2 linked regions of the Rattus norvegicus genome follow. The protein of the gene in region 1 binds, or shares a complex with, the protein of each later gene. Links are inferred from orthologs where the notes say so. Each region holds a gene or a part of one and is shown on either strand. Other genes may lie near its edges. The genes, in order: Gli1 and Sufu.

The links.
Region 2: the proteins of Gli1 (region 1) and Sufu are in contact, whole or in part, in a crystal structure (PDB 4KMD), measured with the Homo sapiens proteins. The link is inferred for Rattus norvegicus from reciprocal best matches to the Homo sapiens genes GLI1 and SUFU. Residues at the interface, in NP_005260.1 of Homo sapiens: Gly119, Ser120, Tyr121, Gly122, His123, Leu124, Ser125, Ile126, Gly127; in NP_057253.2 of Homo sapiens: Leu144, Tyr147, Asn153, Thr154, Phe155, Gly158, Asp159, His160, Val161, Ser162, Trp163, His164, Gln212, Asn265, Leu266, Ser267, Gly268, Val269, Ser270, Ala271, Glu376, Leu380, Lys398.

What each region holds. Positions count from the first base shown.
Region 1 is NC_086025.1:65,048,347-65,052,713, forward strand, and holds the start of Gli1 (zinc finger protein GLI1), read right to left. Parts: upstream 3,062-4,367; coding exon 2,962-3,061; intron 2,733-2,961; coding exon 2,640-2,732; intron 2,170-2,639; coding exon 1,974-2,169; intron 1,628-1,973; coding exon 1,483-1,627; intron 1,187-1,482; coding exon 1,097-1,186; intron 1,007-1,096; coding exon 869-1,006; intron 561-868; coding exon 411-560; intron 1-410. UniProt on the Homo sapiens protein: Acts as a transcriptional activator. Binds to the DNA consensus sequence 5'-GACCACCCA-3'. Regulates the transcription of specific genes during normal development.
Region 2 is NC_086019.1:255,197,850-255,202,162, reverse strand, and holds the start of Sufu (suppressor of fused homolog), read right to left. Parts: upstream 2,975-4,313; 5' UTR 2,805-2,974; coding exon 2,623-2,804; intron 1-2,622. UniProt on the Homo sapiens protein: Negative regulator in the hedgehog/smoothened signaling pathway. Down-regulates GLI1-mediated transactivation of target genes. Down-regulates GLI2-mediated transactivation of target genes. Part of a corepressor complex that acts on DNA-bound GLI1.

The sequences.
Region 1 (4,367 bases):
CTGCAAGTGATCCTCTGACCTCCACGTACACACCTTGGAAAGCAAGCCCCCGCCCCCATAAAATGTAACATAGCATTTTATTTTATTTTTTTTCCCACATGGAGAGGTTTAATGAGAGAAGAAGAGCAGAGAAGAGGAAAGGCCAGCCATGAGCACTGGAGGGAAGCGGGGGTGGGGTGGGGTGGGGGTAGGGCGATGGGGAGAGAAGGGACAGGGAAGAGGGGAAGAGCAGGGAAGAACGAAGAGTAAGAGCAACATAGCATTTTATATACATCAGTGTGTTTATCTTTCTATCCATATGGTCTTCAGCAAGAGTTAACATTTGCTTACGAAGGAAGGGACTTTGAAGGCATGTCAACTAGGACCCTGTCTTGACTTGGCACCAATATAGAGAGGGATGGGTGCCTTACCGTGCACTTGTGTGGCTTCTCGCCCGTGTGTCTGCGCATGTGCACCACCAGCATGTACTGGGCCTTGAAGGGCCTCAGCTCCCTGGAGCAGCCTCCCCAGTGGCACACGAACTCCTTCCGCTCCCCGTGGATGTGCTCACTGTTGATGTGCTAAAGAGGAAGACGAAGAGGCTTTCCAAGGTCCCAGACACCACCCAGACCTTGAATGTACTCCCTCCAGCCCTGTACTCATCGTCCTCAGCTCCTCCTCTTGGGGGAATAGGGGTGGGGAACGCAGTTCACCCACACCTCAGGTCTTCTAGCCTTCTAGAGCAGACACTCTGGGCTTCAGTCTGCAGGACCAAGCATGCGATCTCTGACCTTAGTACCCTTGAACCTCCTGCCCTTCACTAGATCTCAAAGCTCCATTTAGTCTCCTTCAGGTTCCCACCAACTGCCTGTTACCCCCTGGGGCTCACGTGCACCAGCTGTTCTTGGGAATCGAACTCCTGGCTGCAACCATCCCAGCGGCAGTCCGTCTCATACACAGACTCAGGCTCAGGTTTCTCCTCTCTCTCCAGGTCCTCCCGTCCATCCAGCATCCCCAGCAGGTGATCCTAGGGCAAGAGAGACAATCCTTAGGGTCATTTGTGTGGCAAGTTTTGTTTCACTTGGGTCCCCGGGGAAAAGCCCCACCCTCCCCTTACCTGTGTGCTCGTGGAGTTGGGGCTAGACATGTCCCCTTCCAAAGGTTCCTCTGGGCACTTGCCAACCATGATGTCCAGCTCTGACTTCAGCTTCCCCAAGGGAAGAGGTGAGGGTATTGAGGGTGGAATAGTAAGAAGGGAAAGCATGTCAGGTCTTCCTGCCCTACAGACCCCCACCCAAATAGCAGGATCCTGTGAGTGTGAGGACTCTCTTCACAGCCTGTACTGGTGAGTGGTATGAACAGAGAGGTGCTCTCCTGTGGGAGAGTCCGAATCCAGGTTCCTAGTACCAAACGCTTTTATATCTGCTGTGTCCTTCACCTGCCCCCTGCTAAGTCTCCTACCCACTTATCCTGAGCTGGAGAAGACAACGTGGAGGGCCCCACCTGGCAGGTTGCACGTGGTCCTCGGGACTGGGGGTGAAGCATCATTGAACCCTGAGTAGAATCATGTGGAACACAGGGCTGGACTCCATAGGGAGGTGAAGTTCCTTTCTGGTGACTCATCTGAGGTGGGAATCCTAAAGAAGGGCTAGATGAAGAGGAGGCTGTTAGTTGAGAGAATCAGTCACCAGGAGCCCTCTCTCTGTTCTTCAGGATTCTGGAAGGGTTGGTTGAAGAAGCCCCAGGGAGGTCCTGAAGAGGGTTCCAATGCTTTGGGAGGGGAAGGACTAGAGTTGGGCTGGGGGTTTAAAGGGTCTGAGTCTTCTAATGGGTTTCAGTACATATCTTAGGGGCCTCTTTTTTTTTTTTTTTTGGTTCTTTTTTTCAGAGCTGGGGACCGAACCCAGGGCCTTGCGCTTCCTAGGCAAGCGCTTTACCACTGAGCTAAATCCCCAACCCCTCTTAGGGGCCTCTTAATTTGAGGCTGCCAGTACCTCATGGTGCCAATGGAGAGATGGCCGTAGGAACCGCCTGGAGATGTACAACGAGAGTTGATGAAAGCCACGAGGGAGCTGGGTGAGGTACGGATTACGGTTTGCAGGTCGAGGCTGGCGTCAGAGAGAGGCGAGATGGAAAGAGCCCGCTTCTTAGTCAGTTTGACTGAACTCCGAGGAGGAGGAAAGAGTGACCCTAGGGCAGGAGACAGGAGTTAAGATATAGTAAAGGGGGCTGGAGAGGTGGCTCTGTGATTAAGAGCACTTGCTGTTCTTCCAAAGGATCTGACTATGATTTCTGGCACCCACATCAGGCGGTTCACAGCCACCTATAACCGCATAACTGCATCTCCAGGGATGGTCCTACACCCTTGGCCTCAGGGAGGGCACCAGGACATGCACATACACAAATGCAGACACACACAGTGTTAAAATATAACATTAAACATGTACTGTAAAGGTACATGTATCCCTGCACTTGGTAGGTGGGGCCTCACTCAAAAACCACACTGCTTTTGCCTTGCTGCGTTTAGAAACTCTTGATCATCCTCCCATCCCCTTGTCTCTGGATGTTTCTTCCCTCGAGTTTGGCCCTTGCTTCCCCACCTTCTCCTGCACAGGAAGTCCCAGAGGGGCAGAAGTAGGGAGGGTTATCTGGGTTCTCACCCTCAGTGCAGCTGCTGGTCTCTCTGGCAGACCCATAACCCTGGGACCCTGACATAAAATTGGCTTGGTGGCAAAAGGGCAGACCAGAAAGTCCTAGAAAAGAGAGACAGCTGTAGCCAGGCATTTGAATGGGGGATACAGGGCTTATCTTGAGACCCTACATAAGATATGACCCCAGACTCCAAACATACATAGCATGGGTCACAAAATCCTCCTGTAGACAGGAAACTAGCATGGGGTAGGGATGGGGTGGGAGGGATCCTGGAGCTGGGCGAGACATCTGCCAAGTCCTCAAGGCCCAGAGACTGGTAAATGTTTTTACCTTCTGTTCCCATGCTGGGGACCCCTTGGCTGGGGAGGGGTCGGAGACAGCATGGCTCACCATAGCTATTGACTTGTGGTGAAGTCATTGGATTGAACATGGTGTCTCAGCGAAGGATGAGGGGCCCTGCAGAAAGGAACGTAGACCCACCAGTTACAAAGATGGAGAGAAACAGAAGCTAAATAACAAGTTCAGGCACAAATCCCCGGCTGGCATGTCCCTTGTGCCTCTGACCCCCATCTCAGAGACTGGTCATGGAAATCATCCCAAAGAGTGGGCAGAAGCAGACGGTCAGTCATGGAGGTCTCTTGGGGGTCTTGGATAGGAGCTCCTCAGTCTCTGTATGTACACGGGAATGTTAGGGAATAAACGATCCAACCTAAGTCGTAGGTGATTTTAGTGCCATGAGCTCTCTACTTGCTTTTCTTTTTTCTTTTCTCTCTACCGTTTCTTGTTCTGGCCATGGACCAGCTCTGAGGTGTGTGATGGTGGAACACACACACACACACACACACACACACACACACACACACACACACACACACACACAGAGGAAGGTCTGACTTCTGCCGGCTCATGCCCAAGAGCTCAATGCAATCTCTCCAGTGTCCAGTAGAGGGAGACCTCGCTTCAGTCCACATTGACTGGTGGGGCCAGAAGAGAACACAAACCATGTGTCCTCTCAGACCGAGAACTGTGTGTGGGAGGGAATAAGGCTTCAGAGCAGAGCGTCTCCCAGTCTGTTGAGTAAAAAGGATGGGAGCTAAAGTCATTCTGAGGCGGTCTGAATCTGGGTCTAACTATTCCTCTTGGTTTTGGAAAGGACTGGAAAGGGATTGTCAGGAAAGGCTTAATGAGAATGGGAAAACTAAGTCCTCTATTAGGCGAGGGAGGGGAGGCAAGGAGGGAGGGAGGGAAGGAGGAGCTGGTGCGAGGTCCACGTTTCCTCCTCAACAAGTTTTCACTCCACTCCAGGTTTTTCGGTCTTCCGGGAGCGGAGGGTGGGGTGGGGCGGGGTGGGGTGGAGAACCGCCGGGAGCGGGCCGGCCGGCGCGGTGGGTGATCCCGGGATGCTGGGATTTAGGGTGAGGGCGGGGTAAAATGGGGAACGGAACCCGGACCCTACGACCCAACCTAAGTGCTATAGCCTTTGCTAACTCCTCCTTTTTCAGCCGAGACCCGGATCCCGCATCCAAGACCTCCCAGCTCGGCATTGGCACTAATGTTGGGGGTGGGGGGCACAGCTGGCTGGCAGCTGGATGAGGGGGCACGTCTCCCGCCTCTCTCCTCTGTGACTCATTCAAAGGAAGGGGAGGACTTGCAAAGGACCCCCAGACACTAGATGTTCCCTCAAAGTTGTCAGTCTTATCTCCCTGTCCCATTGCCCGACCACCCCAAGAGACAGT
Region 2 (4,313 bases), on another chromosome or scaffold:
GTTGAAATCCTTATTCTTGGGGGAGGAGGGAGGCTAAGTTATTTATAGAAGTCATAAGAAAGAAAGTCACTAAAATAGCTTAGGATCTCGCCTGAGGGAGTTAGGTAGAGGGACAGATCTCTACGTCTTTAACTGTGATTTCACGAAATCATCTGATTAAACCCATAACCAGCTGGGTTTGGAAATGGTTTGGGGATGGATAGAGGAGAGAAAAGGCTGTAGAACCCTAAAAGAGACAGACTCCACACTCTTTCCAACTTCCTGCTACAAATCCCCAACAGCCCTTGACGCAGCCCAGGTCCATGCAGCAACAGGCAGTAGCACTGTGTCTCCTCTCCTTGTTCTGCTTGCAGGCATGCTGTGGCTCCCACAGCCGGTCTCCCAAGAGAGGTCACATCAAGAAGAGGCCACGAACCAAGCAAAGTTAGCCTTATACTTGCACTCAGATGAATGGGGGAAAAATCATATTTTACACTTAGGAAGAGATGCAGTCCAATGGCCCAGAACATCCCTTACCTCAATTCCCTCAACACCTGATTTCTTTCTCTCTATAGGGTAGTTGCAGGATAAGACACAAGGCTCTGCCTCCCTACTTTGATCTTGTCTTGCTTGAAAATCTCAGTCAGAGTATTCCTGGTGGCCAGGGACCACTAGCTAAAATGCTACCCCTCAACCCCCAAAGAAAGCCCATAGCCAGACGCAAGCAGTTTAGTGGGTCATACTGCTGTAAGATACTAAACATAAGGGACAGCAATAAACTTCAGTATCTCAATTCTGCAAATCCCTATGAGTTTTAGAAAGAACCATTACTAAGCTGGTTCCTCTTAGATTCCCGTGTCTAGGTGGCATTTCTTACTTCACAAAGTACTGTACATGTCTTTTCATTTGTCATCACATGCTAGTCTACCTCTGGGGATACAGCCTCACTACAAACTTGTAGAAAAAAAAATAAGTGGTATAATTACCCTTGGTCTTTTGCATAATGGTTTCATACCTCTAATGCACGACTCTGTCTTGATGGCCGTGTAGGTGATATAAAACCAGGCGCCCCATATTCTGCACAGAAACTTTTCCCTCACACTTACACAAGATTAGAGCAAACAGCACGGCAAGGCTAGCCCCATTTTTCTCATGACGTGGGACAAGTTCATCATAACTAATACAGAGGTGCAATTGAAATGGGTGATTAGGTTAGCAAGAGCTGCTTCCTGCTCAGAAGCACTCTTTGAAACTCTCTTCAGCCTGGAAACAGGCTGCCCTGCACAGATGCCTTGCCGGCATGTCTCCTGGCTACCCAGATGAGGCTGGTCCCCAGGTCCTCCCGGCTGTCAGTTTCCTTCCCATCATGTACATAACTGACACAGGGAGTTAGCCTCAGTCCTGTATAGCCTGTCGCCCATCTCCAGAGGCAATCAGAGGTTGTTACATAGGAAAAAGACTCGGCTTTAAAAGCAGTGTAAGCTGTAAAGACATCCACTTCCCCCACTTCAGGTCCAGTTTTTGCCAATTCCCCAAGCCATTGCTCCAGGTATTTTCCGGGATCCACTGAAAGGGGTCATCTAATACAGTGACTGCCTACATGAATGTGGCCATCTCTTAGTCTATTTTTGGTGCAGAAAGACCACGAGGACTTGTCCCATAACACTTGTCTGAATTCAGGCTGACTTGAAGAAACGGGTTGCAAAAAGAATAGGAGATTAGAGAGCACCATTTCTACCCCAAGGACAGCCAGCCCGTTTGGAACCTGATCGTTACTGGGCAACTTTAAACTTCGGCTGAAATCCTGAAGGCAAGGCAGGAAGCGCTTCTTCAAGCTACACTTCATTCCTCCTGCCCACTCAGGTCTCCATCACGCACCTCGTGGCAAGCTACGATCTCCTTCAATCCAGAGCCAAAGCTTGGCCCTCCCGAAACCTGTTCTTAACTAACGACCTAAAGCAAAAGCAGCTGCAAAGTCAGAAGCAAGCTCTGCAGGGAGAAAGAGAAGTGTGCAGAGTAAGCAAAAAGTTTATCTGGAAGAGCGGCTCTGTCAAACTTCAAGAGCAACAGCTTCGCACTGAATGACAGAAGCTCCAGCGTTCGTTCGGGAACCTCCCGGAAAAAAAGAAAGCTGTCTCCTCAACTCTTCACGCATCAAAGGCACAATGCCCTCACATCTTACTCCCTCCTAACCCACAGGGGCGTCCTGGTCCCCGGACCGCCCTAGACTACGCGATCTCGTACCCTCCAAAGCCCTCTCAAATGCTCTCCAGGCCCCGCCTTACCTCCCCCCCATTCCACTCCAGCCGCCCCCTGGCTCCCCCAAGCCCACTAATGACCCACCACAGGCGCCCCCTCCTTTCTCCACGTTTACAGTTCGCTCTCACACGTCCCCCCTCAGTTCCTGTATACACCCCTAGTTCTCAGTTCTCCTAATCCCGGTTAACCCCTCACTACTCAAGGGATCCATTAACCCTTTGTCCCCATTCCCAACTTCTGTCCTAACTCCTTCCACAGCATCAGGAAGCTCCTGGTTCCTAAGTACTTGGACCGTTTTCTTCCTCCCACTTCTGCAAATTACTTCGTCCCCAGTGCTCGAAGCTTTCCCGGCCAGCCCCGGTCCTCCCGAGGCCCAGAGCATACCAGTACTTGACGATAGCGGTAACCTGGAGCGGGTTCGGCTGGTCAGGGTAGAGGCGGCGGCACTCTCCGTAGATGGCGTGGAGTCCCGGGGGAAAGAGTGAAGCAAAGGCCGGGGGGGCACTAGGGCCAGAGGCCGGGGGCGCGGCGGGGCCGGGGGCGACGCTAGGCCTCAGCTCCGCCATTGGGGCGCGTAGGGCGCGCGGGGAACCCGGGAGGGTAGAGGAGGGAAAGCGCCCCTATGGGCCAGCGGACCCACTGTGGATGAAGAGTCCCCGAGGCGATGGGGGCTACGGCGAGGTCTAACTCCGCGCCTGCGCACGAGGCTCCGTCCGCCCAAGTCGGAGCCTTCAAGACGTCGGCCAGAGGATGCTGTGGGACCGCGGGGAGCTCCAGAGGGTGGGGCGTCGGCGTGCCCTTGCCTGGCACCCATTGGCTAGTGTCTTTGCCAGTCACAAGTGGGAAAGGCGTGACTTGACAATAGACTCCGCCTCCCTGCCCCTGTGTTGGGAGTGTCCCAAGGATCTTGGCCTCCCCCTAGTGTTAGGAGGAACCCAGTTTAAAACCGAGGCGCCGTACCTTGAGGTGCTAGGGTCCTATGAAAGCTCTAAGAAACGCCCGAGAAGCGCTTAACATGGTGCTAACACACGATTTTAAGATAAGCTTGACAAATGATTAAATCATCAGACTGTGTCATTATTATTAATATATTACAAGTCTAATTATTTCTTGGAACTATTGATAAAAAGAGTAACACGAAAAGTGCCTGGGGAAAATTCCTAGCTGAAAAGCATTTACCTACTCTTTCTCTTCACCTGGATATTATCATCCATCAAGGTCAAGCTCAAGAAAGATGATAAAAGTTTCTAAACCTGGGGTTGAGGATTTAGCTCAGTGGTAGAGCGCTTGCCTAGCAAGCTGCAAGTTTCTAAACCTCTTTAGACCAGTAGTTCCGTGGCATCCAACTTACAGGTAATTTTTGATAACCTCCATTGGCTTTTGCTTCACGGTTTTGTCTTGTTTTGCTTTTCGTTTTACTTTTTGTTGTTTTTCGAGACAGGTTTGTTTTCTCTGTATAGCCCCTCACTGTTCTGGAACTCACTCTATAAACCAGGCTAGCCTCGAACTCAGATCTTGCTACCTTTGCCCCAAGTGGTGAGATTAAAGGCATGCAGCACCACCCCCGGTGCTGCTGGGCTCTTGTAAGTGCCGGGCAAGCATTCTACCACTGACATTCCAGTTCCACAGATGTTTGTAATGGTTTATATTGCCCAAGTGAAGGAATGGCTGAAAGGTAGAAATAATCTGTAAAATTCAACCGCCCCTGAACTACTGACAAATCCAATCCCAACTATTCACAAGTACTTCAGACTCCAAAAGAGTGTATTGGAAACCCCTTGGAAGGGGCCTCAAATCCAGTCATGCAACATTAATCATCAACATTGTGGCTCTTTAATCTACAGACACTACAAACCCCATGGCACCATATGTCGGAAATACACTGTCCAATCTCCTAAACCCGATCTGGATGGGACTCGGTTTGGAGCAAAGAATGCTGGGGATTGTAGTTCTTCGGAGGCGAGGTCGGGCCGCTCCCTGGACGCCCAGTACCGGCGACTAGACTGCGCATGCGTGTCAGTGGCGTTTGCTGCGGACCGGGCTGGCAGTTCCTTCCTCGGAGGGAAAGATTCCTC